4 linked regions of the Arabidopsis thaliana genome follow. The protein of the gene in region 1 interacts with the protein of each later gene in a pairwise test. Each region holds a gene or a part of one and is shown in the gene's direction. Other genes may lie near its edges.

Region 1 (8,147 bases):
CGCAAACCAGTCTCACAGTCTGTGTCCTCTTAACCAATCAGAGTATCTCTTCAAACGGAAACAAATAGTCAGGCAAGAACCGGTGTAATTTATTGGGCTATGACCCATGACCAAAGAACTCGGCCCAGCCCATAACTCTTAGAAAAGCCTTGGAAAATCCGTACAGCGCGGCGCAAACGCAAAAAGCAGAGAAAGAGAGGAAAAATCGCGATCGGCTTCTTCCAGCCACACCCGTCACAGAGTGGCCACTCAATCGCTGTCGCGTTTCCATCAGATTCCCGGTAACGTTTTCCCTTCTTCAGCTTCCCAATTCCCGCCGGCGAAATCCTAACCACTATCGTAGTTTTTCAGTCTCCCGATTAATCGAGTTAGGGTTTCGTGCAATTTTCCCCATTTTCGTGTTCGGTTACTACTGGGATTTTGAAGTAGGCGAAGTCTCAGGTCGCAAAATCATATTTTTCCCTGAAACACGTTTCAAGTAATTGCGTCTGCGTTCTCTGGTTCAATGCCTTGTTTATATGATTTGTGTTCAATATCTAGAATTGTTGGGTTAATGTTTATGCAAATGTCTCTGTCTCTCTGTGCTTTTGTTAAAAACGAGTTCACAATGATAAAGGTATCGTTTTTAATTGTTAGGAGTTTTGGAGAACAGAAGTTAAAAAAGAAATGAGGCCAAAAGCAGTGTGGGAGCCTGAGTATCACAGAGTGTTTGTTGATTTATGTGTGGAGCAAACGATGCTAGGGAATAAACCAGGGACACATTTTTCGAAAGAAGGTTGGAGGAACATATTGATATCGTTTCAGGAGCAAACAGGCGCCATGTACGATAGAATGCAGCTTAAGAACCATTGGGATACAATGAGCAGACAGTGGAAAATATGGCGTAGACTCGTTGAAACTAGTTTTATGAATTGGAACCCTGAGAGCAACAGGTTTCGTGCAACTGATGATGACTGGGCTAACTATTTACAGGTTTACAAATCAAAACCACTTGTTACATTCATTTTTGTTGATTTTATAAAATGCTAAAATGTGATTGCTTTGTGCCGTAGGAGAATCCTGATGCTGGGCAGTATCGGTTGAGTGTTCCGCATGATCTCAAGAAGCTAGAGATTCTCTTTGCGGGTTGTAATGTAGAGGTGAAAAATGATGAAGTCTCGGGTGTAAGGAAGAGGCGAAGAAGTTGTTACGAGGAAGAAGATGAAGATAACCAAAGCATGTGTAGTTCATCTAACCCTCAAACAAAAGGGTATTGGTCTCCGTCTACACATAAGCTGTTTCTTGATCTGTTGGTTCAAGAGACTTTAAAGGGAAATAGACCCGACACTCATTTTAACAAGGAAGGGTGGAAGACGATTCTGGGGACTATTAATGAAAATACCGGCCTTGGTTATACGAGACCGCAGCTGAAAAACCACTGGGATTGCACTAGGAAAGCTTGGAAGATCTGGTGTCAACTCGTTGGAGCAAGTAGCATGAAATGGGATCCTGAATCTCGTAGCTTTGGTGCAACAGAAGAGGAATGGCGAATCTATATTCGGGTATGATAATGTTAGTTGTCTTAACTATTATCCTTCTCCCATTGGACTACATTTTGAACAGATAGTGTTTGTCTTTGGTTTATTACAGGAAAACCCAAGAGCAGGACAATTCCGCCACAAGGAAGTTCCTCATGCTGATCAACTTGCAATCATTTTCAACGGAGTGATAGAACCTGGAGAGACATACACTCCTCCTTCGCGTTCGCGCAAGAAGCTCCTCCACAATCGTTCTGAATCACCACAATGGCGTGACACAACTCCATTATCAAAGATGCACGTAGATGAAGCAGAAACCTCCAGGCAAAATGGTTGTTATGCAGAGTCTCAAGAAGATCGGATAGACAGTGAAAACGCTCAACCATTGGATGATATGAAGTTAATGAATGACGTTATGTTGCAGGAAAGTCCGGTATTCGTTGAGATTGAATCGGCAAAGCCGATGTACAGCATTGGAGAATGCATTAAAAGCCTCAACGCAATTGAAGAGGTCGAACAAGGTAGTGAGCTCTACATGTTTGCGTTGGACCTGTTTCTGAAGAGAGAGTATAGAGAGATCTTCTTAGAGCTGAAGAAGCCCAGTTTGAGAATCGCATGGTTGCAGAGACTTCAATCTACTTCATTTCCTATTCCTACTACAACATAGGTTCAAGTGTATTTTACAAGCCATCCTTTTTGTACTCTGACCTCTGTCTCTGTCTGATGTTATACCCAAAAGAATCGTTCTTTGTTAGTTCTATGAATATGGATTATATAAAAACAGACAGGTAGAGAATCATGTTGATGAACCTTTGAATTGCCTAATTCTTAAGTGGTTTGTGTTAGAATTGTTCTCACTTTCATTCATTAGGAGAAGATATTTAGCATTTAGTTCTATGCATATTACGAGAGAGCAGAACAAGGTTTGGGACACCGACAACAATGGAGTGTGTGAAAGGGGCTTTTGAGTGAGAGTTGATGATTAGAATCTTTTTTGAATTAAAAAGTAGATAAAGCGAGTGACGACAAAAAACAGTACCCAAAGTGGGCAAAAAAAGGTTTAGTCGCATCCCAATAATTAATTACCCCTTTAAGGTTAAGGAGTAATTTTCTAAAAAGTAAGAAACTAAAATTAACGCGCCAGGTAGGGGTCGAACCTACGACCTTCTGCTTAGGAAACAGACGCTCTATCCACTGAGCTACAGGCGCTTCTGCATTTATTATATTTATTCTTTCTTTTTCAATCTTGTTTTTGTGGCGGCTTATGAAATTTCGTAGAAGTATCATTTTCAAGTGGTACGAAATACAAAAAAAGACATAAAGAATAAAGTGTCGTTAAGTTTAAGCTTACGTGTTATCTCGAATAACATTAATTAAGTTACATCTATAAACAATTTGTAGCAATCGCATTGTTTTTGTTAAGTAAAGCAATCGCATTGTTTTTGGTTTTTTTTAGTAAATTTGAAGTTTTTCTCCTTATTTTATGTGTGTTTTATGATTAGTTAAGCCTTAGACATAGCCGACGTATAACACGTAAACTATCATTAAGTATGAACAACTTTATGTGTTGTCGCTTTTATTTTGAATAATATTAGAGAAAAACTACCTAACAAAAAAAAACGGTGTATACTAGTGGTTATTAAAATTTTGGAAAGATATGAAATGTTGGCCTAGCTAGTAGCTAGTTAGAATTTTATAATTGAAGTTTATTGTTATTTTTAGAATTCGTGTCATTGTGAAGAATCCTCTTTGGAATAAAATGAAGCCAAGTAGGGGAGTGGAGTGGTTCCATTGGCTAAAACTTTTACACTCTCTCTTTCTCTTTATAACACAAACCACAAATACCTTCTTCTTCTCTCCCTTTGCTTCACAATCTCTCCCTATCTATCTTACTGATTATCTCTCTCTACCATCTGAGTTTTGCCTGTTTTGTATTACTTTGACGACCCACTTTTGCAGATTCTCAAGGATTCTTCAAAGTCTTAGTCTTTTGTGTTTCTTTCCAGATTCTTCAATTAATATACGCTATAATCTCTCACTAAATCAGGTTCTTTGATTCCATCATTAAACTATTCGTTAGTTTTCCCAGTTTGATTCCTATATATCTTTAGATCCTATAAGAAGCTTCAGTCTTTTACTAAACCCACAAATCAAGCTTCCAAGAATTAGAGGAAAAATATTAAGTACTTTATTTTATAGGTAGAACTTTTATCTCGTAGCCTTTAAACGATGGAGACTCTGCATCCACTACTCTCGCACGTGCCAACTTCTGACCACCGGTTTGTAGTTCAAGAGATGATGTGCTTGCAAAGCTCGAGCTGGACTAAAGAAGAGAACAAGAAGTTTGAGCGAGCTCTTGCTGTCTACGCTGATGACACGCCTGATCGCTGGTTCAAAGTTGCTGCTATGATCCCTGGAAAGACCATATCAGATGTCATGAGGCAATACTCTAAGCTTGAAGAAGACCTCTTCGATATCGAAGCAGGACTTGTCCCGATCCCGGGTTACCGTTCAGTTACTCCTTGTGGATTTGATCAGGTTGTGAGTCCACGTGACTTTGATGCGTATCGTAAACTTCCTAATGGAGCCAGAGGATTTGATCAAGACCGTAGGAAAGGAGTTCCATGGACGGAGGAAGAACACAGGTGAACAAAGTTTTCAATCTTTGTGATCCTTGTTTCACTCTTCTTTGGTGTCTTGAGTTGCAAGTTACTTTGTTTTCTTGGTTTGCTGAGACCTTGTTTAATTGTTTTCTGCAGGAGATTCTTGTTAGGGCTTCTCAAGTATGGGAAAGGAGATTGGAGAAACATATCGAGGAACTTTGTGGGATCAAAAACACCAACTCAGGTTGCAAGTCATGCCCAAAAGTACTACCAAAGACAGCTTTCCGGTGCGAAAGACAAACGACGGCCTAGCATTCACGACATCACCACCGTCAATCTTCTCAATGCCAATCTTAGCCGTCCATCGTCTGATCACGGTTGCTTAGTCTCAAAACAGGCCGAGCCGAAACTAGGGTTCACCGACAGGGATAATGCAGAGGAGGGAGTTATGTTTCTTGGTCAGAATCTATCCTCGGTCTTCTCTTCCTACGATCCTGCCATTAAGTTTTCCGGAGCAAATGTTTACGGTGAAGGAGGTTACTGTATCTCACAAGATCTTGAAACGAGAAAATGAGAATTTTGAAATTTTAACTATTGCAACGAAACCATAATTATGTTTTATTTAAAAAGTTATGTTACATTATTAGAGGAATGTGAATATGTATGTCTTGTATTTATGGAATAAACATATATTAGCTAGTATATATGTCTCTTTGCCAAAACTATCAATAATGGTGAAAAGGACCAAGTACCGGGTTTATGGCTTTACTTGCAACTTTAACGGTCAGTCATTTTCTTGGAAAATTGTCTCTAAACCTGAACATTTGATCGATGATAGTAGATAAATTAGTATAACATTACTCATTTACGTTTTATATTTTCTTAAAATGATTCATCACAGAACTATACACAAATACTGTTTTCTAAGGTAAGAAATTGTCTTTAGCAAAAAGAATGTATAGAATTTTATGTAAGAAAAAGGAATTAAAAAGTGAGGGTTGGATATATTTGTATGTGTGTGTATGGGTGGCAAAGCTGACCACTAACTTGTAAACGGTATATAATTAGAAGCTGAGTCTGCATTCCACTTTCGGCACACAGAATCACATTCTTTTCACCTATTACACCAACCCTTTGCTCCCTCAATTTTGTTAAGTTTATAAATAAATTAAGGGTGTCCTTGGATATATTATTACTCTTTACAAACAAAAATAGCAGTTTAGTACAAGTGGAACATATATACAAGCTCCTGTTTTAAAATTATTTTAAGAATGTTTTTTTTTTTCCGTATTTCTTTTAGTTAATTTAATAAAGAGCTAGAAAATGTGATATATGTTTTCTTTCATATCAGAAGGAATATATAATGCTTTGTTTTTTCCCTTCTTTTTGTGAAAGAAGTCAAGTTGGAATTTATTAAAAAACATAAACAAAAGTGATTTAGGAAATTTCATTGGATGAACGAATCGTTAAAGATACTTATTTTTGTGCAAATAAAGAGAAGTTATATTGAATCGCTTTGTTATAAATTTGAAAGCTTTTAGTTTTCTAATTAAAAAATTTGAGAATATAAAAGAAAAGCTCACTTTTTAATCACGAACAGTAAGTAACTACTAACTACGTAATATGATTACTCTATCTCCATATATTAATTTGATTTGATCAGTAATAGTGAATAGTATATACTATATATAGTCACTTTAAGAGCATCCGAACCTTATTTATTTTTTGCATGCGGGAATAAAACCCTAAGATACTACTTAATAATGTAGGTCGGTTGGAGTCGATATAATTCTAACACCACCTATGACATTCATCGATGAAGATGATGAACCATATATATTTTTAACGAAAGTGGCATCACACAATTCAATTTGTTATTTTTTTTTCGTGGCTCCACTTTTGATGAGGCGTTTGAATGGAACCCAATGAAAGGTCAATCAATAATAGCCGTATAACTTATAATATGTTTGGATCATAAAACTGAGAATTTTTGTATTGACACCTTTCTATATATGTCTATTTAGTAACACTCAGAACGTTCTTTATATAAATTAATCACTTTGGTTACTTCGTCACTATGGATTTGGTCACCTCAATGGGATATGCGACCTAACCACTAACTAACATACTAATATGAAAGTCGTCTTCTTGAATGCTTACGTCACGTCTGTATAGTATACAACTACATTGTTACTTTTCGTAGTGAGCTACGTTATTTTGATTTTTATTTTGTTTACACAAAATTATAACGGTTTCGATTTTTGAAACTTTTTTCTTATAGATATCTAAGTAAAACAGGACAGTAATATATTGATTTGCAAAATGAGTATCCTTAACAAGGATTAACATAATACACAATAGAAAAAGAAGGTGTTCAAAAGAAGTAGACTTAGAAAAAGAAGAAGCATAATGCGTATCAAAGCACGTTCTTGTTTTCGTTTCTGTCTTTTGGCATCAAATATCCTTTTCACGAACATTACGCCATTTATTAACTTTATTTTCCTCCATAATCCTTTTTCACTTTACTTTTTCTTCTTGTTGTTTCTTTTCAATTTAAAGAAAAGCTCATCAAAATGTATAGTCTTCCTTTTTACATCTAGGTAATATGCAAATTATTCAGTTCTGCTAGTAAACAAATTCATAAGTAACACCCTTGTTGTGGTCAATGGCTCTAATCAGAAATTTCATACTAAGGACAAACATGAAGAACATGTTGACTTTGGAAAACGAACAACATTCAACCGGGGCTGTATACTCGGTCACGATGTGAGAGTATAACAGAAGGGGGGGGGGGGGGGGGGGGGAAATGTGAAAAAAAAAATCTTAATTTCAATAGGATAAGACCATCTCTGTGGAGATTTCGACACATTGACGTGAACTTTTGTATTCAAAACCCCCTCAAAAGAGGCCTAAGCCTAACGAACTTGAAAGATAAAATGAAAAAAGACTCTTTGATACATTCTGAATCAGAACAACTGAGAGAATTCAACAATGTCGATATCAAACTAAACTCGTTCGTTCCCCCACCCTGACTTGACCCTTTGTTTTGGGGAAGAGAACACACAATAGCTGCCTTCATCGCGGGCAATGATGACTACAGTAAGTCACGAGAAAACCTGATCTAGCTGGTGGCAGGTATGGCCACAGGCTTTGAGTCCTCTGCTTTTTCATGTTCCTTGTTCAGTAACTGAAACACAGCATCATCACAAGATTTAGTTCAGAATCACATTATTGTGTGCCGTGAGAGAGAGTAAAGTAAAGATCTAACCTTGTTGTTGATCAAGTTGTGGAGCGCAATTACACTCCGAATGAGGGATGATAGATAGATAACGAGCATCATGTCATTTGTTTTCACTGCACATTATAAATACAGTAAAGATTAATGAAGCAGATCTAAGAAAGCAGCCCAATATAATATCAAAATGATAGCAGAAACTCACCGGAGAAGGCCTTGACCAACTCGTTCACATTCAGGTTAGGAAGCAAGTTGAAAACGTCCTGTCGATTTTACGAGAATATATTTCATTAGACGAAATCAACCAACAGCAGAGACAGTGACTAGAATATTTTAAAGAGCGCAAAACACATAGGTTTGGACATTGTCAAATAGTTTCTCCATAATTTGTAAAATTCAGAACACGAAACGGAAATATAGTTCTAACCTGTAGATGGTATAAAATCTCATGGTTTAGAGGGAGCTTTCCTTCGATTACAAGGTCAAGATAACTCCGGATCTCCCGAAGACGTGCATCCAACCCCTTCAAAGCAGTAAGTTTTGCAGTGACCTGGTGCAAAATACTATAAAGTTATTTATGTCCTCGAGCAGAAAACTATTATGTCCATAAGTAACCTTGCAAGAACATCAATACAAATCCTACAAGTCCCCCATCATGATTTCAACAGACATTTAATGGGAAGATAATGAAAATTTCATGTATTGTAAAGACAAGAACCTCAGTCGCGAGGGTACTGATTGTTGTGTCTTTCACATCCCTGAGCAAATGCTCCACGCCTGTACAAGAACAAG
Region 2 (9,197 bases), on another chromosome or scaffold:
TCACCAACATCACCTGAGAGTATAAGAAGCAGAGTGTGAGAACTGAAAAGAACTCACCGGACTACAAAAACCAATATTCTAACTAATTGTATACAAGTTCAGAGAAAGAAATACCTGTGTGCAGCCATCCATCAATGAGAACCTCTTTCGTGAGATCTTCACGTTTGTAGTAACCAGAGAAAAGGGTCTTTCCCCGAATGCAGATTTCACCACGTGCAGTACTCGCAAGAGCATCATATTCCATCTCGGGGACGGATTCAAGGCGTATATCAACGTTTGGCACTGGTGGACCAACTGTGCCGAGCATACCTAGTTCATCTGGCAGCGAGACAAAAGTTCCAGCACAGCTTTCAGTAAGACCTGTAAATGATACAACAACAAACGGACAACTAATCACATTCTCTGTTAGTGAGGGATCATATACTACATCACTCTGGATGGCAAAGATGCATGACGAGGCTCAATTAAAAACACTAGTACACGCAGAAAATACTCCAACTGTTTCACACATTCTAGGTGATTTATGAGAGATAGTGACTTTATCGAAACTGGCTCATTTATGTAGTTTCATTTGGATCTGAAGAACTCAATATATTGAATGGGTACCGTATCCTTGGAGAACATGACAGCATGCCACCACTCTTAGAAATGACTCTACGTGACTAGCAAGAGGAGCAGCTCCAGATAGAATAATCCTCACATTGCCTCCGAGTCCTTGTTTAACCTAAGTGGTAAAGCAAAAGAAATAATTGCTATAAAATTTCAAAACGAAGAGTGATAGGCTCTTCTGATGTTGTGTAGTATAGAATTTTATTGAAGAACTTTGCCACCTTGCTGAACACAAGTTTGTCAAAAAGTGGAGAGGCCTCCACATGAGACTGTCCCTTCTTCATATAACCAAATTTACTGAGAACGTTTTGAGTGTGTTAGATCATATAGCTTAAAGGTTAGTGACATAGATAAGCAAAGAGAAGTTTGACTTACTAGGAAAATGCAGAATCAAATATGAACTTTTTTAAGAATCCACCATCAGAAAGCTTCTTCTGAAGACCTGTTTAATATAATAGGTCAACCTAATGAGACACGGGTAACTTGTCCAAGTGAATAAACCATGTATATCAATGATACGAAATCGAATTGATAATTAGGAATATAAATAATGGGAAAATGTAACAATCACCAAAGAAGAAAGAATGAAAGCTTATCATAAGAATATTCTAGTAGAATTGAGAATATTTTTCACATTTGGTATATCCCATCATCAGCTAGTAATAGTTTCATGAAGGTGTGTAACGTGGTACAAATGTAAAACCTCAGATTCAGTTATTTGGAAAAAACAGATGATACGAGAACATAATTCAATATAGAGGGCGAATTGAAAAGTACTTGCTCTACTTGGGCATATGATATTTCAAACATCTTACCTGAGTATACTCTATCCAGGACACGAGGTACAGCACAAAAAATAGTTGGTTTAAGCTCAGCAAGGTCTTCGATCAACAATTTTACATCCTGAGGAGACAACCCGGAGAGAATTATAAGTGAGGAATTCAAAACTGGTTTAAATAAAAAGGTTCAAACTCTACTGACCCCTCGCCAGAAGCCAATTGCAGCACCATGTTGAATGAAACACTCCTCGATAACTCGGTCAAAGATGTGGGCAAGAGGAAGATAAGAAAGATACACATCTTTCACAGTCAGCTATTGATTTGCACAGCAAAAAAAACGATTAAGACCAGAGTCAGGAACATGGGAATCTTAAAGATTGCAGCTTCTTTGTGAATCCTAAAAAATGCATGAAAGCAAGAAGGAAACTCACAGCCTCGTTAGCACTTTTCAGTAGACGGATCACTCCAGCGATTAGAGTCACAATGCTTTCGTTAGATATCATCACTCCCTTTGGGTCACCAGTGGTTCCACTCGTATACATAATCGTGCAAATGTCGCTTTTCTTTTTGATTGGGAGATCATATTGCTTTCCTTCACCCTGGGAGAAATATTCGCAATGGAAAGTATAAACATGATAAGCATAGTTATAAGACCACTGGAAAGAAATATCACAGAATCAGTATATTTCAGGACGAGCAAATGTCAAGTCTCATACCAGCTTCAAAAATTCATCCCAAGCATATATAACCAACCCAAAAGTTTCAGCTTCTTCTTTTTGTTCACGTGAGACACCCCCGAAGCTCACAACAGCTGTAATTATAATCACGTACAATTGATCATAAGCACACTATGTTAACGGCCTAACAGGCCTAACACAAGAAAAAATCACTCACTTTTCATGTACTCTGTCGAGTTTGGGCATGTCTTGAACAACTGATAATCAAAATTCAAAAGCAAGTGGTAAGAAGAGGTTACAAAAATGTAAAATTTAGCAACGGTAATCAATGCATGAAAGTGATAAATATATATTTCACACAAAATATATATTCTTACTGTACCTCAGAGATCTTCTTCTCTTCCACAAAGACAATTGAAACCTCTGAATGGGAAATGATGAATTCCACAGCATCAGCACCTATAAAATTGACACGCAACAAAAATGACAAATAAGCTAGCTAAAAGATTTGTAGAAGCTCACTGGAAATCTATTGGCGAATTTATCCTTCTAGAGTATATTGGGAAATACTAAAAAAGGCATACCTAGTGTATCATATAACGGTACACAATAGAGTCCATGTGCATTACAAGCCTACATCAAAAGTGCACTGTCAGTCCTCTAACAAAACACAATCAATGACATAATCATGATTCAGCCGCAAAATTACCTCCATGCTGATAATCCACTCAGGAGAATTTGCACCATAGATACCACATTTTGCTTCCTAATATCCCACATATCAGGAAACACAAGATTAAGCAAGGGAATAATCACATTGCGACAAAAAAAGGAAATAATGAGACTGAATATAGATATCTGAAAGGAAAAAGATGGATCTTACGTCCTTAACTCCAACACTTCTGAGAGAATTTCCAAGTTTCATGACAATGTCGTAGACTTCTTGGTATGTTTGCCAGACATACTTACCCGGCTAAGAACAATCAAAATAACAAGTGAATTTTATAATAACATGAAACGAAAATCACAAAATCAAAATCAATAACAAACAGTAACAACACCTTTCCATCTACAATCTCGCGGCGTCCCAGCATTGGATTGTTTGGATACTTCTCAACAGACATGCTGCAATAAACAATAACAGTAGAAAAATGTAAGTCAACAACCACAAAATATCACCAAACCACACACAAAGCAAAACAAAAAATGTCAACCAAATTCATGCAACTGTTAATTAATCACATGCCACTCAAAACGATGTTATTATAGACAAATGGCAAAATCATTAACCAACAAATTATATTTCTATCGATTAGAGCAACTTAGGTAGATCTTGCGATCCGAAAAACTTAAACAAACATGAATCAAATCCAGATAAACACTAGACGAAATTAAACTATACGATTCTTACTACTTGAGAATCCATAAAGAGCAAAAAACGCAAGTCAGAACAAATTCCATGATCAGTCAACAGATCAAGGATCAAAATCTCAGCAAGAATCGGAAACGAGGCTCATGCAACACAAACTCCGATCGGTTAAACGAGAAATCTCACCGGAAAACATCCCAACAACTATCCATTCCTTCGATCGGGTCGGGAAATCCGTCCTTGGCAAAGATACTCCGGTACACTGGACCAACTGATGGTCTTCCATCGCTACCTTCTTTGCCTTCTTCAACTTGGAAGATGTATTTCTTCTGCTGCGACATGATCTCTCTCTCTCTCTCTCTACTTCGTTCTCGTTCTCTTCTCTCTCTATCTGTAGAACGAGAAACTTCTGACGCGTTTTCTCAGATCGGAGAAGAAGTTAATAGAGACTTTCAACTACGACTGCGATTGGTTGCTACTCACTGACCATAAACCTGAAAAAGTCAAAGTCATATTCAACCTCTTATTGGGCCGTATACGTATCATCATATTAGGCCCAATAAAGTCATATTATCCAAATTGAAATTTATATTAGCCAATATTTAGATTTTATAATTAAGATGTCAAGAAACAAAACAAAAAGTGTGTGATTTTGATTTAAATAACTTTAGATTTTATCAATATTTTATCCCCCAATTTAATTTTTTTTTTAGAGGTTATCAATTAATCTACGATAATTAAAAATATGCTTATTACTCTATTAGTATGTGTGTTTGTGGATAGATTTGACTAGTTGCACACAGATATGATATTTGTTAAACATTAGTTATCAAAACAAAAAAATAAATATAAATTTTCAATTCATAAAAAACCATATAAGCAAGAATTTGAGATTTTGATATCCGTTTAATCTCGATACAAATTAATATTAACATGTACATTATCAAGTAACAATACTTATCTTGTGCTTATGCTTAGTTGCTGATAGTGGAGGGAAAAGGGTAATAGAATTGGAGGGTTAATGGCGGGAAAATGTCGATAAAGTCCCTTCCTTTATATAACATACATAAATTTTCTCGCATTTAAGAATTTTAACATCCGCTAGATCCTTCTTTCTTCCAAACCCTTAAGCTCCACCTTCGTTTTCCCCAATTTCTCTCTCTCTCTGCCTTCGTTTATCTATGTCTTGAAAAGTGAAAAGCTTTAGGGCTTTTACAAGTCTGAGAACTCCATCAATAACCTGGTAATGGTCCGATTGACATGTTTGATGTTTTGCGAATAATCTAGGGTTTCATTTTTTTTAAGGAATTTAGGGAATATCTCGTTTGAGTCTTTCGAATAGCTTTTATTTTACCCAATTTCATGTTTTTAGTAGTGAATTCAGGTGGGAATTTGTGAAGAATAATTGCGACAATGGCATCTGGTGTTTTCGAGGATGAAGCTGAAGGAACTATAACGATCAATGAATATATCGAAAGGCTTGACGCAGAAGAGCTGGTAATGTTCTCTTTCTCCTCTTGATCAGTTTTAAAGCTTATGTATGTTTCTGATCCTTACGAAAGTTTAATACTCTTCCACATTTTCACTCCTTGGTTGGTGATAAATCGTTTAGATTTAAGTGTAAACAAACGTCTTGAAATTGGATTCTGACCTTAAATTGACTACCTTTTCTGAAGCTAGTGGAGTGTGTTGGATTGTTATTGTACAGTCTCTGAGGTTTTGGCTAGCTAGTAATGATAGTGTGTGTCTCTTAATTAGTTTCTATTAATTTCAGTAGTGTGTATCTGTTTCTGTAATCCTATGTTATTTGGGTTTAGGGGTTTAATATTCATTAACTGCTTTTGTGATTCTTGATGTTAAGGCAGCGGATTTGGTGTTGGGTGGAGATGAAGGAGATGAGTGTACTTTCCCAAAGGGTTACATGAAAAGGCAAGCAATTTTCTCATGCATTACATGTACACCAGAGGGGAATGCTGGAATTTGCACTGCTTGTTGCTTATCTTGTCATGATGGCCATGAGGTAAATATGGTTGATATATAGCCAGGTTATGTATTTTGAAATCTGATTTCATAGTGTTAATTGGTTTCCTAATGGTTGAACATTGTTCTGGTTATGAAGCTTTTGGAGCTGTGGACTAAGAGAAATTTTCGATGTGATTGCGGGAACTCAAAGTTTGGAACTTTGGCTTGTAAGCTTCTCCCGAGCAAAGATATAGAAAACTCTGAAAATTCTTACAACCATAATTTCAAAGGCTTGTACTGCACTTGCGACCGACCTTACCCTGACCCAAATGTGGAAGAACAAGTAGAGATGATTCAGTGTTGTCTCTGTGAGGATTGGTTTCATGAGGAGCATCTCGGTCTCACACCTTCAGACAGTGTTGGTAGCCAGGTTTGTGGCCAGTGCTTAATCTTGTTGTTTACGATTGATTTTTTTTGTTGTTGGCGCTTAGTGCAATTTGTTATGTGATGTTAACAGATTCCAAGGGATGAGGAAAGTGAGCCGATCTATGAAGATTTCATTTGTCAAAACTGCTCCCCAGCATGTTCGTTTCTGACACTTTATCCTGAGAACTTGTGGGTTGTTGCTAAAGTAGATTCCACTGGTTCTGCTAATGCTTGTTCAGAGACAATTGAGTTAGACAAAAACCACATGGATTCTGAACCCGGCCAGCCAGAGAACGGTACTGATGCTGAGAAATCTGTTGTAGGAAAATGTTCTGAGACGATCAGTGACTCAGAACCTGGCCAGCCTGAGAACGGCACTGAAGCCGAGAAATCTGTTGTGCAAAAATGTTCTGAGAAGATCGATGAATCTGAAGCCGGCCAGCCTGAGAACAGTACTGAAGCCGAGAAATTCGTTGTGCGGAAATGTTCTGAGAAGATCGATGGCTCTGAAAATGTTCCTGCAGCTGGTTGTGTTATTAGGACTGATCTAAACTCGTGTCCTGAGTTTGAGAAGAAACCTTTGTTTTTGACCAAAAACTGGAGGAACATCCTATGCAGATGCGAAAAGTGCCTTGAGATGTATAAGCAGAGAAAGGTAAGCTATCTACTTGATGCAGAGGACACAATTGTTGAATACGAGAAGAAGGCGAAGGAAAAAAGAACAGAGAAACTGGAGAAACAAGAAGGTGAAGCACTTGATCTTCTGAATAATCTAGACCACGTATCCAAAGTTGAGCTCCTTCACGGAATCAAAGACTTCCAAGACGGACTCCAGGGTTTAATGGTATATATTGTCACCATCTATGAAAGAAATTTGATTACAATTCTCAGGAACCACTTCATTTAAAAAGACTTGATTCGTTGTTGGTTTTGTAGGAGTCTGCTGGGCCATCAAAGGCGATAACTTCTGCAGATATCGAGCAAATGTTTTCAAAACTGAAAAACAAACGTAAAAGGATGGAGTGAGAGGAGTTATAAAGGTAGTAAGTCTTTCTTTCGACATTTCATGTTAACTTTTTTTAGATATATGTTGTTTCGTTGGTTTGAAATGAAGAATGAGGAGGTTTCTTTCCTCTTCCTCTGCTCTTGTCTGTCTTTAGTTTCCTAAGTAATGCAACCAACTTTTTACTTTAGTGCATGAAGTTTGTAGCTTATGAAACAGTCGACTACTATATATAATAAGCTACTAGTTCTAGAACTACTATTTACTTTTATCTTTCCAACTATTTTTATATGAATTTAGTAAATACTCTTATCTTCATAATGTGTCTTGGACTCGGAAATACTTTGAGCATGCTAAAAGGAGAGCTTTTTATCGTCTTTTATTATAACCAACGATGCCCCATTGTCAAAACAACTCATTAACAGAGAGAGAGCCAAAAAGGTAAGGAACAGAGCAACAATTACACATCGGTAATGTCTTGCGACATACTAAGGAAGTCGAAGATCATCAATTACACATTTCGCAATCTCATGTGCTCTTTTGTTGGATGTAGGAGATTGTTAATATACCGCTTTGTAACTCCGGAAGCTCCTTTAAGAAGCTCTATGGAGCATGCTAAAAGAAGAGCTACTACAAACTACACACGCAAAGTAAAAAACTATTATAAATTGGGCCTTCTAAAGTACTAAGAATTAGGTTTTGGGCTTCGGAAAACCAAATTCAGTTTACATGTGAGGTCATCATGTTTTTTGTTATGACAAAAATTAATTAAATAGTATTGTAGGCCTGACCAAAAAAAAAAAAAAAGTTTGCCAGAAATCACTTAACCGAATATTAATTCTAGGTCAGTTATTACTTATTAGTGTTTTTTTGTTGTCGACATGAGTTATTGTTGTTTTTAAGAAAATATAGATCGAAGTTGGAAGCTCGTGAGTGTTGGGCCCTTAGAGTAACGACAGCCCCCGTGACACCACCACGTACTTGTGTTGTCCTTTTGTAAATTTCCACGAAGTTTCGTTTCGATAAGAAGAATTTGATAACGATCCAATTATTGTATTACGCGTAGTGCTTAATGATAGGATCATCTGATATGATCGCGCTTCTTAATGACATTTACGTCTACATGTAAAATATCATGAATTATTTTTGTGTTCTTATGTTATTATTATAAGAACTAATGCAATAATTGTGGTAACACATCGCGATCACGCTTATGCAAACGATATAACCATATGACACAACGGTTTTAACTGTATTTGAGCACCGATCTACGAGTGTTTTAAATTTCTTCAGATGGCTTTAGTTTAGTGGTTTTGAAATGTTATATATTTTAAATCGACCTTGTACTAATATGGTTTTTGGTCCGTGAAATCAGGAGAGAATATTTCAAAAGAAATGGGTTTGACATTGTTTGAAACAGATCATAATATGAATGATTGGATTCTATTAAATGATATGCATTCTTGAGGGAAACGAATATGAATGTATCTACGACCACAAGCTATTAACATGTAACACTTATTTAATGAGTAGATGGGTTTTATATTAAAGTATACTATTTGTGATTATTGATTCTAACGACGATTATAAAAAAAATAAAGAAGACAGGTTGGGTGGTTGGTATAAATGTGAGTTGCCAGGTTTTAACACGGTTTTGGTTTGGTTTAAAGACACTAACTAACGGGAGAGAACATGAACTTGTGTTCTTATGTCTTCTATTCTAATAATTTATAGTATTGAAAAAAACGAAATAAAATAGCCACTAGGAGGATTAAAAGTACAATGAGTATGGAATTAGCTAAATGCTTATTCAATATACAGTACGTTTTGGTTATGTTGATTGAAATTGAAATTTAGATGCGTACATATCAGAGTTTTTCAAGTCTGACCCCACTCAAATTGGTTAATCTTATCAACTTGGAGGAGTCACACAATGATATCTACATGGCGTTTTACAAATATCTCTATGTCTTCCGTTTACGTTCCTCGTTTAGCTAATGTTTTGGTGGAAGAGAGCTCTTGTAGCTCCAGAACGTTGTTTGTTTTTGAATTAAAGCTAATAGAAATCAAATCATTGTTTGACCAAAAACACATGCATGCATGCAGGAACAATTCACATTGGATTTTGATTGAACTTCTAAAGTTTTGGCTAGTATGAACTTCGATTAATTGATAACCAATTTGTTCGAATAGAAATGGAAAGCCCTTTCGCATTTAAACTGTTCCATCCAAACTATTTCAATGTTATACACGTCAAAAAGAAAAATATATACAACGTAAAATTTCCTACAACACCTTGCACAAACAATTGAAATAGACTTAAATAATTTCATAGTCCCCACTAATATAATCTTGCAACTTCATTGCAAATT
Region 3 (7,350 bases), on another chromosome or scaffold:
CTGGAAACCATTGTTACATCTGGTGGTGTACGCCTGCAGCCAACTCGTGATGCTCTTCATGTTTTCATTTTAGAGGCTGCAAAAATGGACGCTGTTGCTTTAAGCATTGCTCTTGACGGGAAGCTCCATTCTCCAATGTGGCAGGTATGTTTATGATTATTTCCTAGTCACCTCCTTGTGAAACTGTTTGATGCTACTAATGTACTTTTTTCTTGATTATATCATCTGTATTTTCTTTTCCCTGGCTTGTTTCTTCTGTAGCGTTAATCTTCCCACTTTTGTACTTTGAAAGTAACTGTGTTTTTCTGTTTGGCAGGTTCGGATGAAAGCTTTATGTGTCCTTGAGGCCATTTTGAGGAAGAAGGAAGATGAGAATTTTTCAATTGTACATACCTATTTTAGTGAAAACTTGGATGCCATACAGCGGTGCGCAGAGTCTCCACAATCTTCCCTTCGAGAAAAGGCGAACAAGGTAAGCTTCTGCTTGTTATAACCATTCACAAAACTCTTTTTTGGCATTATGCTAATTTGTTGGTTAACTCGAGATACCGATGTTGTGTAGGTTCTGAGCCTTCTAAATGGTGGACAGTCAAGTGGGTTGATGAGCAGCTCTGATAATACTGTGAAGCGAGAGGCTGCTGTTGATTTACCTGACTTGATTGACACCGGTGATTCAGACGATACTTTGAACAATCTGAATGCTATAGATACTGGCAGTACAGTGGCGACAGCAGGTCCATTGATGGATGATGATTGGTTTGGGGATAGCTCTGACATTGGACTGAGTAGCAGCGAGAAGAAAACTGATGACGACCCCTTTGCAGATGTCTCATTTCATCCGAATGAAGAAAAAGAAAGTGCAGATGACCTCTTCTCTGGAATGACTGTCGGGGAAAAGTCCGCTGCTGTTGGTGGTAATCATGTGCCTGATCTATTTGATATGTTTGGGTCAACTGCAAAACTTGAAGCAGAGCCAAAAGATGCAAAAAACATTAATGATTTGATGGGAAGTTTCTCCATTGACGAAAACAATTCAAATCAGAAAGGCTCGTCTTCAAGCACTCTTCCACAGGATTTATTTGCAATGCCGAGCACCACCAGCCACCAAGCACCGGAAAATCCTGTTGGAGGCATTCTTGGCTCACAAAATCCTGGGTTTATTCAAAACACAATGCTTCCTGGAGGTGTTATGCCATTCAATTTTCCTCAAGGGATGATGATGAATCCAGCTTTTGCATCCCAACCTTTGAATTACGCTGCCATGGCAAGCTTGTTAGCTCAGCAGCAGCAGTACCTTGGTAATATGTCCAACTTCCAGCAGTTCGGCAATCTGAACGCTCAGGGTAGCGGAAATGTTCTTTCTATGGGTACAAGTGGAGGGAATCAGTCCGCACTCCCTGATATATTCCAGCCAAATTTTGGTAATCAGGCTCCAACCTCAACAATGAATGGTTCGAAAAAAGAAGATACCAGAGCCTTCGATTTCATTTCTGTAAGTTTTGCCATCTTGCTCCTGATCTTTGATTCTAAAGTTTGGTCAATCTGCCATTTGTCTTTGTACATGTGACATCAAATCTCACACACATAATGTCTAGCTCGATTAAAACCACCTAAACATAGTCAGACTAGATCTACTTTTGTGGCATAGTTAAAAAACCTTCGTTTGATGTACATACACTCATGGAGCAACTACATAAATGTTTGTGTGATGCAGGATCATCTTACATCAGCCCGCGACACAAAGAGAGTATCTTGATGGTTGCTTACAAAATTCCGCCTTCCAGTGTTAAATGCTATTTCATGAGATGTGGACACAAGGGTGCAGGAAGCTAAAACATTAATTTATGAGAGCTGTATAGACTTGAGGAGAAAATGGAGATAGCTTTATAATTCATATGGTAAGGGTTTTTGCTTCTTTTATCTGTTTCCTCGTTTTGTCTTTGGTTTTTCTTCTTCTTTGGAGTCCATTGTTCTTGGCATGAACATGTAGTTGTAGAGTTGCTTTTTGTTTGTTACTAGATGTGTTTATTTTGTTCCGTTGCTATATATTATATCTGAAGAGACTTGTGTCTGTGTATCGAACGTAGACAAGAAAGGAAATGAAACTGAGAAAGGAAATGCATATGAATAGTTTAAAGACTTCAAGTCAAGTCCAGTTGTTTTTGCGTTTCTTAATTAGAAAATTTTGTTGATGGAGAAAAACGAAAGCCAGGGATAATTTTGTTTAATCGTGATGTCTGTTACAATTTGGAGTAGTTAATAAAATAAGGTAGATCTAATCTAAGTGGCTGCAATGAGCTTTTTTTTTCTCACACGTTAAACTTGGTCCATATTCTCAGCATTGCCTGTTATACTGGTTTGCTCATTTTAAATTGGCGTTACTTATTTTAGGATACATCCATTGGTCAAGTGTTTGCATTGGTGTAGATATTTTCATACGATAAGAAAGAAAGAAAGCTAATAATTTCTCAATCTATTTAGGTGAAACTATTCAGAGTTTGATTAATGAGAGAAAAAGGAAATGATGCCCCTTTATTTTCTTACCTGAAGTTTAATAAGAATGCATCTTTTGTGTACTTTCTACCAACGGTAAAGATTGAAAAAAATGGTGGAAGTTACTTTTCTTATCTTTTTAAAAAGTGGTAACGGGAAAATGACGAGTGACATCCTCATTACATAAATCCAATTAATAAGATTTTGAGGTTCCCATACTGTGTAAATATAAAAATAAAGAATGAATAAAAATACCTCAACGGGCAGATTGATAGTGACATATGGAAGTAACTTTAGACTCTCCAAGTCTCTCTCAAATAGGAAACGAAGGAGACATTGAGATTATTTTTTAGAAAGTTAATAAACGATCTCTTCTGTAAATCTTTTCTTTTTACATTCTCTGCATCTTTTATGCTTCTTTGTTGGCAAATCCATCCTCAGTTTTATTTCGTTTAAAAAATTATCAATATGGTCAAATGTATATTACATATAATAGGTGTAGATATATTTTTTTTTTTTTTGGATTTTTATAAAATCTTCATGATAATTGAAAGATGGGTAGGCTAAATGTCACTTAAAATGGAGCGTCTAATTTCATTAGTCAAATTAAGTATTTATTTTCTTTGATAGTTTGACACATTTCCACCAAATTAATTAGCCTTTGAAATAAGAAATAGTATGCTTGTTGACAAAAATTAAAAGAAAGAAATAGTCTAATTCCACCCAAAACAAAGAACAATCAAAATAATCTAAAAACAAGAACACAATAATAATAGTATGCAGTTGTAAAATCAAAATCACAATTTACTCATATGTATATGGAAAAAAATAAAAAAAATACTATACAGTTTTAAGAGTCTAATTTGGTACGATTGACGGTTGTAATAATTACTATTGATTCTCACATCCAAAAACCAGAAAAAAAACGTGTTATGTTTTTATACTAAAAGAAAGTTTATTAAAAAAAAAAACCTCAGAATCAAAGCTCTCTCATTAGCACTTTAGCAGTCAGTCTATAAATACATGTCTCACATCCACACAAAAAGAAGAAGTAAGTATCAAACGAGAGTACAAAAGATGACGTCACTCAACAGCTCTGCATCACCAACATCATCGTCATCAGACCAATCTGATGCAACTACTACAACAAGCACCCACTTGTCTGAAGAAGAAGCTCCACCCAGAAACAACAACACAAGAAAGAGAAGGAGAGATTCTTCTTCTGCTTCTTCATCTTCTTCAATGCAACATCCTGTTTACAGAGGTGTGCGGATGAGAAGTTGGGGCAAATGGGTCTCCGAGATCCGACAACCTCGTAAGAAAACTCGTATTTGGCTCGGCACTTTTGTCACCGCTGATATGGCTGCTCGTGCTCACGACGTCGCTGCTCTCACCATCAAAGGCTCCTCCGCCGTCTTAAATTTCCCTGAGCTTGCTTCTCTCTTCCCTCGTCCGGCGTCATCATCGCCGCATGATATCCAGACAGCCGCCGCAGAAGCCGCCGCCATGGTGGTCGAAGAAAAACTGTTAGAGAAGGATGAGGCTCCGGAGGCCCCACCTTCGTCGGAATCTTCTTACGTGGCGGCGGAGTCAGAGGATGAGGAGAGGTTGGAGAAAATTGTGGAGCTGCCTAACATTGAAGAAGGAAGTTATGACGAGAGTGTGACATCACGTGCTGATCTGGCTTATTCTGAGCCGTTCGATTGTTGGGTGTATCCTCCGGTTATGGATTTTTATGAAGAAATATCGGAGTTTAATTTCGTGGAATTGTGGAGCTTTAATCACTAATTAAGTTAGGAAAGTGCATTATATTGCAATATTGCATCATAGATAACATTTGTATTTCTTTTCTTTTTGTACGGATACGTAGCATATGCTACTATACTAGGGCTAGTGTACCAAATATTGTAAAATATACTTATTAATATTTATGTAAATGTGTAATATATATAACATACAATTATTGTAAGTTTGGAAATTGGAAACTATCGTTACGCAATGTTCTTGTACTTGTGAATCACAACAAACAAAAATGTTATTTAACTCTTCTTAAACGTATAAATTCCTAAAAGAGTCAATGGTCATTCTTTGTTTCTTCTCACCAGTCAATAACCCTCTTCTCCAATGCTGACTATAATTGATTTTAAATTGTTACAATTATTGTGAAGAAAATAGTTGGAATCTATGACAAGTTGACATTATTCTATAACTACATTCCAATTTACAAGATTGAAGATTATTAATCTAGGTATGTCGATTAGATAATTCCAGAAGCAAGAAATTTATATTATAGTTAGGTAACTGTAGGAGTTTAGGTTGGAACAAAATTTGTAATGATCAAATATGAGAATGCATTATAGAACACTCTAAAAATAATTCAAATGAGGTACACCGTCCAATCTTTTTTACTTATTTAATATTTTGACTAATTATATCTTCTTCTTTTTTTTTTGTGCACCAACATTACTAATAGAATATAGTTTATGTTTGCAAAAAAATAACATTGCTTCTGCTGTGAAAAACGTTTACAGTATAACCAACATAAAATCACTGTGGATAAAATGAAATTCCTTTATTTCGACCAACATAAGTACAGAACATTAACGGTCACGTACTTTTGTTTTGTGTTTTGGTCACGGGTTCATCCTTATTATAATTCATATTAAATTCCACTAATTCGTTTGTTTTTATCAAACTAGTTAAACTTTTGCCAACAAACCGAAAAGATCAATATTCAAAGAAGAAAAATGCATTTGAATTTTTAATAAAAGGTGGAGTTACAGTTCAGATTCCATAGTCACATAGCTCTTTATTTTGAAACTGTTACGTGATTTTTAGTCTTCTTAAACACGGGTTTTGTTTATTTCTTTAATATTTGAGTGTGTTTAATTTTAGCTTAAATATAGTATTTAACTGAATATGAGTAGAGATGGTGGTGTGGGAACGAGCAAGTCAAATACTGCCGTTGTGGACCTCTTTTCTTGTTGTCAAATTCTTTTGACGAATTCAATTTTTATTTTTTTTACCGTTGTTTAAGAAGATTAATAATTTTGGACACTTTATATGAGACAAGAACCCAAAGAAATCGTATTGAACCTATATCCAGATTATAAAATATGAGAAAACTATTTTTAACATATTAATTTCTGTAGTGCTTTGATAAAATTCAAATAAACGACTTTTATCATTAATAACAGTGAAGTGAATTGTATAGAACAATTATGTACGTAAGAGTTTTAAATAATAAAATTAGAAAATCGGTTGGGTATTTCGATTTTTTAGTAAACAGTACATGATGATGAGTCGGGTGGGTTCAATAATAGAGATTAAGCCATTAAGGTGGCCAATTACCAATAAGGAGGTTAAGTAAATGATTTGGTAAACGGGTTAACTAAAAATAAAATAAAAATTGGTAACACGTAAATATCATTTAGTTGTCAAATCTTGCAAGTCAAATGTTATCTGCTCTGTAATAATAATCAAATAGTTGTATGTATATCGACCAACCTAAGCACTCTTGATTTGATTCTCATCAATTTGCAATTTCACCTAAATACCTAACAAAAAGAAAAATCATGGATTAGCATGTGCCCATTGTTCAATGTCTTCCAATTTTTATATATAGCAAATTAAAATAATCCACATGCTCCACATAAGTTCATGACATAAAAATTCATAATCCTTTTTTCAAGATATGTGAAACAATTTAAAATTGACTATTGCTTCAATATGGATAAAAAGAAGTGTTATACTATATTGAAGCTCAAAGAATTATCTAACATGTACTATTACAAAGATTACAGAGGAAATATAGATAAAGGATCAACCTCATTGTCTCTATAATGGGTTTTTGATGTTTATTCCCTACGATTGTCACGAACTGTCTCTTTTCTCCAAATTACAATCATCTTATGAACTGTTTCTTGCGGTAGTCATGTCCAGTTTCAGCACCATCTCTTCTAGCTCAAGCCGTTTGATCTTCCTAAGTTCAAGGATACTCGGTGGCATTGGTTTACTGGACCCATAGAGCTCAACAAGAGTGAAGAATTCTTGTTTCGTTAGACTTTTCTTTTGAACCAGTTTCTCTACCACCTCGTCCATGAGCGTCCTGTTTCTTCCAAGAATCTGGTGTATGCGTTTGTAAATATATATTTAACAAGACCAATATAAAGGAGATGCTATGATATAGATGTAGTTGATTTAGAAGTCTACTTTACCTCTTTAGCACGCTCGTAACACATGTTCAATATCCGCAATGCCTCCACATCAATATCCTGCAAATCCATGTATCAGAAGATGATATCTGTTCTCTGAAAACTGAAGTGAAAACAATGTCAAGATATGGCCTTACGTTAATTCGATCAGCTACCCAGAAGTTATTCAAGCCATGATGCTTATCAGAAAGACCACCAAGAACCAATGATCGAGCAGCTGATCTTGCGTTATCCGATGTTTCAGCCCATATCGTGCTTAACTGTAACAAATCATTAGCAAAGGTTGGTAAACTAAAAAAAAATATGACCACAGTTATTAGAGAAGAGTAAAATGATATATCATATCTCTCACCTGATCCTCACCGTACCATAGTTCATCTGCAGCACGGGGTGCTAACTGAACAGTGATGTGATCCAAGATGGATTGTCGACTACATATAGTAGACCACCAAAGGACATATAGATTAACATAAAGAACCCGTGTAATCATGAAAGTAAATCTGTATGATGAAAGCCACAAACCTAAGCATGCCTTCCTTAAATTTGATATGATCCATCTTCACCCGGACATAACCCAATTCTCTACCAGCTCTAGGGTTGATTGTCAGCTGGTCAAGGTCATCGAAATGTCACGGTGCGGTAA
Region 4 (7,189 bases), on another chromosome or scaffold:
CTAGCAAACTAAAACAACCCCTATTTCTAGGGTATTCATATAATTGCAATGCGTTAACACAAAAATCTAATCCAGTGTAATCAATATTGATCAAGACACAAACACAAAGAATTTATTTCGAGCAGCTTTGAATCGAGGTCGTTCACTAAGATCCACTAACACATGACTACCTACACGATCCGGGATCTTTGCTCAAGTCATCTTGTGCCTCTCAAATATTCCAAAATCAAAATCTATAACGAGACATTGGTTTCCAAGTTTTGTAAATGAAAATTGAAAGAAAACATATGGCAAAAAAAAATTGAAAATGCGATTAGGTACGGTGGTACAGTTAGAAATTTTATTTTAATAAAACGAACACTGACCAAATTTTTTTATTTTTTATTGATGTAAAGTTGTTGTCTAAAATTAATTGAAAATTGCAAATCTTGATGAAATTAAAACGAATGTAGTTTACACCATGCTCCATGCATTACATATCACAATGCATGGAAGAATTTAGTTTATATCACCATGCTCCATGCATGATTTTCTTATACGTGTAACGTGTGTGTTTTATTTGGGATGTAAGCTATAGCATATATGACCTTAATTTGCGTAGCTACAAACATATTCCACAACTATTAGCGATCGATATCACATTATATAACATGATGGCCCGTTCGTGTGGGAAAAAAGTCAAACATAATATATTGTTTATATTGCCATTGATAGAGAGAGAGAGAGAGAGACGCATTGTGCAGAGAAAAAACCCACGCGTTTAGAAGAGAGGCGACAATTCTGGTATCAACTTTAATGTCGTACCATTGCATGTAACCTACTTTCGTAGCTTTGCCCCTTCATTTTTGCCTTCCATTTTCTTCTTTTATTACCAGACATTTCAACTCAAGACCAAAGTTATAATTTCATTTCATCTAAATGTAAAGAAACTATTATGGGAGCCATGGACCGTTATGTTTCGGTCAAGCTCACATTTAATTTACTTCCTTTGTAAGATATATTTTTTTTGTAACCCAAAATATTAAAATATATAGTACTTAAATAAGTTACATAAAAAAAAATCTTTAACTAGAATGCCTCTTGAGCATAATAGTAAATATATTTTTGAGGTATTATAACCCCTATCACATAGCACATTTATTTTTTGAATTAAATAAATTAAGATTTTGGGTTCAAATAGCACATTTTCACATTCTCTCATTCATTTAATTCTTTTATGTGGATATATTGGGAATTTCTCAATAATCTATATCATGTAATCAATAGTGTTCACCACCCTATATTTTTTTTTTCACTACTCCACCCTATATATTTCAAAGCTATGATAATACTTCTTTTTTTTGTTGTCATAACTCATAAAGTTACAAATTAATTCTTTGTAGTTTCGAAAGACGGAAGCATGCATCAAAATAGAAATATAGGATTTTCTTTTCTTAACAGTTTTCCCGTTTTCTCCATCTGACAAATTGACGTCCATATCGTTTAGGTTTAGAATATTAGTCTGATTTCTATGAATTAAAGATCTAGCTAGAGCCGATTATTCAAACTACTTCATGAATTAATCTTCTGTTGATATGTTGTACCGTGTACGTACAAGTTGATACCACCGTTATATAGGTTCAAGTTTTCCACAAATTTCCACATTTTTTAAAAGTGATTTCGATTCCTTACAAACTGAGCTCTGTGGTGTTCAGCTTCATAATCCACTAATTCCACAAGGAGCTCACGACTTCTCTTCCTTCAACATCTACTGTTTGTAGACATGATTTGCCAACGTTTTGTTGAGGAAACATAGTTTTGTTTTTGTTTGCCTCACATATTTATTCCATTTTTTTGTTTGTTATTTTTTTCTTTTCAATCTGCATATTTTTTCGCGGCACAACCTAAATGAAAAAAAAATTACATGCAATTAGATATGATTGTAAATCGTTATATATATAACAACGGCAAAATATTTAGACACTCCTAAAAGACTTCTGCGTTGATATATTTTTTTTCTCCTACGCGATATATGTCAATAATTACGTGATAAACATAATAACATACGTGATAATTGCATGCAACCCTTATATTTAGACGATTGATAATTTTTTCTCCTAGGCGTGATAAAACTTTTTTTGACGGATTTTTTTTTTTTGCATTCAACCCTTATATTTAGGGCTCGAATATGAATGGAGCTTTACAGACATTAATTGATCAAGAATGTGAGAGAGATTTAGATTATTTTTTATGTAAATGCGAAATTACATTAATTATCAAACATATATATACGAAATTAGTGGTGGAGATTGATTTCCGTAAACGCAAAGGGTCATTAGTCACAATCGAGCTACAGTAGGAAAGCCCTAAAGAGGCTACACCATGAAGAAAGAGCCCTAGTTGAGACAAATCCACGTGACTTTGGTTTACAGATTAAAAAGCAAAACCCTAAATAAGCAAATCGACCATAATCTCGTAAAAAGAACAGACAAAACACAACCTCATGTAGAAGGAACAATTTCTGCGCGCCGCCAGTGTTATTAATTCAGAATCATAATTTCACGATTTTCAACCCTCTCCTTTTAAGCTTCAACTCCAACATCATAATTTTCCCTTCCACAAACTACTGTATAAATCACTTTTAACTCTATTGCTTATTATTATTACTGTAATTCATTATTATTATAAATTAATGACCATTGATTATTTCCCAAAACACAATTAAAGAAAAGTGCGTAAAGATTAAAGAATAATATGACCAACGGAAATAGCTGAAAACGATGACCTTTGAATTTGTTCAAAAATAAATGAAATCAATGATTTTATAATTTTAATTTGTAAATTGTTCAAGAAAGTTTTCTGAAATATATTCATGTCTTTCACTTAAAACAAAAGAATAAATCGACCTTTAATCAACAGTATCAAAGGACCTTTATACTCTGACAATAAGAAAGAATGGTGCAAGGGTTAAGATAAAAATAGTACATCATAATTATGAATTTGTTACTTGTCAAAAAGACATGAAATATGTAACTTATAACTGCTTTTATGCAAGTCCGTAGAAAAGGAAAAAGAAAAGACATGTAAGTTCGAACGTGGAACAAGAACTTCGTTAAACGTACTTTTGCTTTCTGCATCTCTCATAGATTCACAACTCACAAGTCAATAAAAGATGCAATGCAAGTCCATTTTTTTAAATTATATATTGGGTCAGGTCCATCTTAAATTAAAAACAATAAAAATGTATATTTTATTTTCTATAAATACGTAATCAGCTATCATCACATTCAGGTGCCTCACAACCCTAAGACAATCACAGAACAAAAAGAAAAATTCTTAGCTTTAAAAATTTCCCTTAGGTCAACCATGGAAGAAGCAATCATGAGACTCGAAGGTGCCGAGCACAGAGAAACCAACATCCATTCTTTGAAAAGAAAGCCATCAAGAACTTCCTCGACAGCTCCTGGCTCTCCCGGAGGAGTAACTACCGCAAAAGCTGCCTCCGGCGCCGGCGCTTCCGGTGTCTCTACGATAAGGTACCGAGGCGTGAGGCGTAGGCCATGGGGTCGTTACGCAGCTGAAATACGGGACCCATTGTCCAAGGAGAGACGATGGCTCGGAACATTTGACACGGCCGAGGAAGCAGCTTGCGCATATGACTGCGCCGCTCGAGCCATGCGTGGTCTTAAAGCTCGAACCAACTTCGTCTACCCAATGCCTTCTCTCGACTCTTATCACCACCGTATTTTCTCGTCTCCTCCAATGAATATGTTCCTTCTACGAGACGTGTTAAACTCTCAGTCTCTTTCTCCGTTAACCACTTTCGCTTACCCGCCTTGTAATCTTTCTAACGTAAACGACGTTGTTCACGAGTCCTTCACTAACGTCAACGATGTCTGTGAAGATCTCTCGCCTAAAGCTAAGAGGTCAAGTACCATTGAGAACGAGAGCCTGATATCAAATATCTTTGAACCAGAACCAGCTAGTTCTGGTCTTCTTCAAGAAATTGTTCAAGGCTTCTTACCAAAACCTATCTCTCAACATGCTTCTATACCTCCAAAGAGCAACCAACAGTCGGTTGGTGTTTTCCCGACGATGCCAGAGAGCGGTTTTCAGACAGATGTTCGTTTAGCTGACTTCCATGTCGAAGGAAACGGATTCGGTCAGGTTAAATATCATGGAGAGTTAGGTTGGGCTGATCATGAGAATGGGTTTGATTCAGCTAAGATGCAGCAGAACGGAAATGGTGGAATGTTTTATCAGTATTGCTTTCATGATGATTATTAGAATATTGTTGTTGTTCTACTTTTTACGTGCTTATCACTTCACAGTTTCTTTAGGGTTGTAAGAAATGAGGTTAAGGGTAACTAACTCAAATCTTTTGTCTTTTAATTTTTCGTCTAGTGCTATGATCAATTTATCTCTATGTTTTAGCAAAGAACAATTTTTATCTGAGTATGAGCGAAGTTAATTAATTGTGTATGACATATGTCGGTTATGAGCAAAGGTAATAACAAAAATAAAGTAAAAATACTCGAGGTGCTGGATGAAGACAATACCTAAAGGACAAAAATATATATCTTGAACAAATTAAGATTTTTTTTTCTTTTCTATAAGTTGACTTCAGAATCATAAAGACAGCCTTTGTCCTCTTGCTTTTTCTTCTTTCCCTTTTCCCTCTCAGATCACCGTAAGGGCATAATTATATTTAGGTTCACAAAATCCTTTGTCCATTAAAGTATTTGCACCATCAAAACTCAGTAAACATATACTTAAGGACTCGAATTTGCATCAATGTTTATAACCCTTATTCAAAAAAACCATATCCCAATTATGATCTTTAGGGGTACTCTTCAAGTATCCAAGAGATCTTCTAAATATTGGAATTTCTAGTGGATGTGATATGAACGATGTTGGGACTGTCTTTAGTTTTATATGATCACATCAGTCTATATTAATTTTTATTTTAAAACAAAACATTATATAAAAATATATCATAAAATTATTCAATTATCGATATTCATTCAAAATAAAATCATAACACTTATTTGAATTTGAAATCTCGTTGTTACTACAATTCTATATATAGAACTATTCTACCAAATATTAATTGAAAAGATTATATTCATTTAAATATGAAATAGAAGTTCAGTGCTCCTAGCTCATATTGTTTTCCTCTATATTCAATGCGCTTTGTATATAACAAAAGTTTTTTTTGCATTGCACTGCATTTATATAGTATTATACACATTTATATATATATATATATATATATATACATTTACATTTACAACATTTATAAAAGTATATATGTATACATATATATAAACAACAACATTTATAAAAGTGTATAATACTATATAAATGTATACACATTTACAACATTTATAAAAGTGTATAATTGATGAATGATGGAAGTCATGATCATGAATCATTAACCATTAGAAAGTGACTTATGTGGCTTTTGGCCTTTTGGTTTTGGGGATAGAAGTAGATGAAACATCATGAAAAGTTCAAGGATACAGTTGGTCCTTGATGGACTCCATCATCATTCCCGTGATGACCATACAAAAAGAAAAAGATTTGTTCAGTCTTAAAGCTTCTTCAAATAATAAAATGATTATATACACACAATGAGGTATACCCTCTTCGTTCATCATTGATTCCCCTTCTTCTTTAATATTCACATTATGAACGACAAAGGAAACATGGAGACTGAAGCTTCCATAGCGGCGATGGGCCTTGGGGGTCTGTCCCGTCAGACCAGCATCACTAAGACCATTTGCATTTGCTCACCGACCACTCACCCGGGGTCATTCAAGTGCAAGCTTCACCGGACTCCTTCGCTGCAGCGTAACAAAAGCGTTGAGACTAACATTCTTCAAAGTCTCATGACAAAGCCAGATCATTCTAAGTAGACACTAGGAAGCTTAGGGTTTGTTTTTGTTTATTCTTTAGAGCATTATGCTAGTGACCAAACAAGGTAGTAGTTCTATTCTACTTTCTGTCTCTACGTCTTGTAGTTATTGGTTTTATATGTGGAAGGTTTCTTTCATCTAGAGTATGCGTAAAATATTAACATTTACTTTCTTCTAATCTCTAATAAATTGATTAATAAAATATAACTTTCCAACTTATCAATTTTGACACAATCTTTCAAATGTTAAGCTATGTCAAAAAATGTTTTTCTTTTTCTTGATATTATACTTGCGCCTCAAGATGTTGGCCTTTAAGGTGTTTCAAAGGGCATTACAAAGCAAATCTGATCGGATCTATGAATGTGTGAGGTTGCTACTGGTCCAACGTTTCCAAAATTTTAAGCGAAATGTAAATTTTAATCTTTAAAATAAACAAATCACAAAATAATATTACAGAAACAATAGAAAAAATAATGTCAAAACTTCATAAAATCAATCTCTTAATAGAAACACTCTGATTCTTATAAAAAAAGTGGCGGAAAAACATTTTGTGGATGGAAAGTAGTCTGATAATTGAGTGGTATCATGAAAAGTATTTGAAGTTGGGTACTTTTAAATTTAGACTCTCATACATGGGCTTATCTCTCACCTATGATATGGGCCGGTCCGGGCCAGGTGAACCTAGTTGACACATACCTGCATGATCACTTTTTGACCAAGCAACAAAGACAAATCTATTAGATGACCGACGAAGAGAACCACGTTTTTCCTACGTTCTCCTCCACTATAACTTGCGCATTAGATACATGTCATACATCATTATTAATGCATCTAATTCGATCAAGCTATGACGAATAACCAACAGTAACTACCAAATTTAACATTTGTCGTTTGTACTCTTGGGGCATATACCTCAGAAAATTATAAACCGTTGGCCCACTTCACGAATTCGAAGTTGTTAATGTTTTCGACCAATCAATCTTGCTTCTTGTTAAAGCTAATCACCCTCACGCGATATTTCGTATTAGATCCTTACCTATATCATTAGTCCAAATCTCTAGACATGTGCATAGAATATATTAAAATCGGCCAAACCTGAAGTAGTAGTATATTTGCTCGGAAAAGACATAAAGAAAACAGGGAATCAGATTCACGCCCATCTTTCATGTGGACTACAACCTCATAACATGTAGTATTATATAAAGATACCTACGATAGTTTTCAAAAATATCCCTAATAAAACAACACTCCGATCCAAACAAGAAAGAGCTAGTTTAAGAATGGTACTTGGA

What was found.
Region 2: the proteins of AT5G05790 (region 1) and AT4G23860 interact in a two-hybrid assay, tested with the Arabidopsis thaliana proteins (one large-scale study listed by BioGRID).
Region 3: the proteins of AT5G05790 (region 1) and AT3G16280 interact in a two-hybrid assay, tested with the Arabidopsis thaliana proteins (one large-scale study listed by BioGRID).
Region 4: the proteins of AT5G05790 (region 1) and DRNL interact in a two-hybrid assay, tested with the Arabidopsis thaliana proteins (one large-scale study listed by BioGRID).

What each region holds. Positions count from the first base shown.
Region 1 is NC_003076.8:1,737,271-1,745,417, reverse strand, and holds AT5G05790 (Duplicated homeodomain-like superfamily protein), read left to right. Parts: upstream 1-3,231; 5' UTR 3,232-3,746; coding exon 3,747-4,162; intron 4,163-4,276; coding exon 4,277-4,694; 3' UTR 4,695-4,895; downstream 4,896-8,147. Other genes in the region: AT5G05800 (Myb/SANT-like DNA-binding domain protein), read left to right, coding at 667-972, 1,053-1,541, 1,630-2,184; RPN8A (RP non-ATPase subunit 8A), read right to left, coding at 7,242-7,307, 7,389-7,474, 7,561-7,618, 7,783-7,905, 8,074-8,132.
Region 2 is NC_003075.7:12,404,489-12,413,685, forward strand, and holds AT4G23860 (PHD finger protein-like protein), read left to right. Parts: upstream 1-4,518; 5' UTR 4,519-4,677; intron 4,678-4,806; exon of another isoform or gene 4,807-4,809; 5' UTR 4,810-4,847; coding exon 4,848-4,931; intron 4,932-5,045; exon of another isoform or gene 5,046-5,295; coding exon 5,296-5,454; intron 5,455-5,553; coding exon 5,554-5,826; intron 5,827-5,913; coding exon 5,914-6,666; intron 6,667-6,758; coding exon 6,759-6,848; 3' UTR 6,849-7,190; downstream 7,191-9,197. Other genes in the region: LACS4 (AMP-dependent synthetase and ligase family protein), read right to left, coding at 1-13, 115-360, 607-724, 831-906, 985-1,051, 1,425-1,512, 1,591-1,701, 1,820-1,987 and 8 more.
Region 3 is NC_003074.8:5,514,785-5,522,134, forward strand, and holds AT3G16280 (Integrase-type DNA-binding superfamily protein), read left to right. Parts: upstream 1-3,426; 5' UTR 3,427-3,516; coding exon 3,517-4,281; 3' UTR 4,282-4,487; downstream 4,488-7,350. Other genes in the region: AT3G16270 (ENTH/VHS family protein), read left to right, coding at 1-144, 317-472, 563-1,492, 1,715-1,756; EMB2083 (AAA-type ATPase family protein), read right to left, coding at 6,403-6,618, 6,711-6,767, 6,845-6,967, 7,060-7,138, 7,230-7,315.
Region 4 is NC_003070.9:8,711,466-8,718,654, reverse strand, and holds DRNL (DORNROSCHEN-like protein), read left to right. Parts: upstream 1-3,276; 5' UTR 3,277-3,345; coding exon 3,346-4,266; 3' UTR 4,267-4,290; downstream 4,291-7,189. Other genes in the region: AT1G24577 (uncharacterized protein), read left to right, coding at 5,670-5,897; AT1G24575 (DEAD-box ATP-dependent RNA helicase-like protein), read left to right, coding at 7,178-7,189. UniProt on the Arabidopsis thaliana protein: Required for correct embryo patterning and cotyledon organogenesis. May positively regulate the gibberellin signaling pathway leading to germination, hypocotyl elongation, and leaf expansion.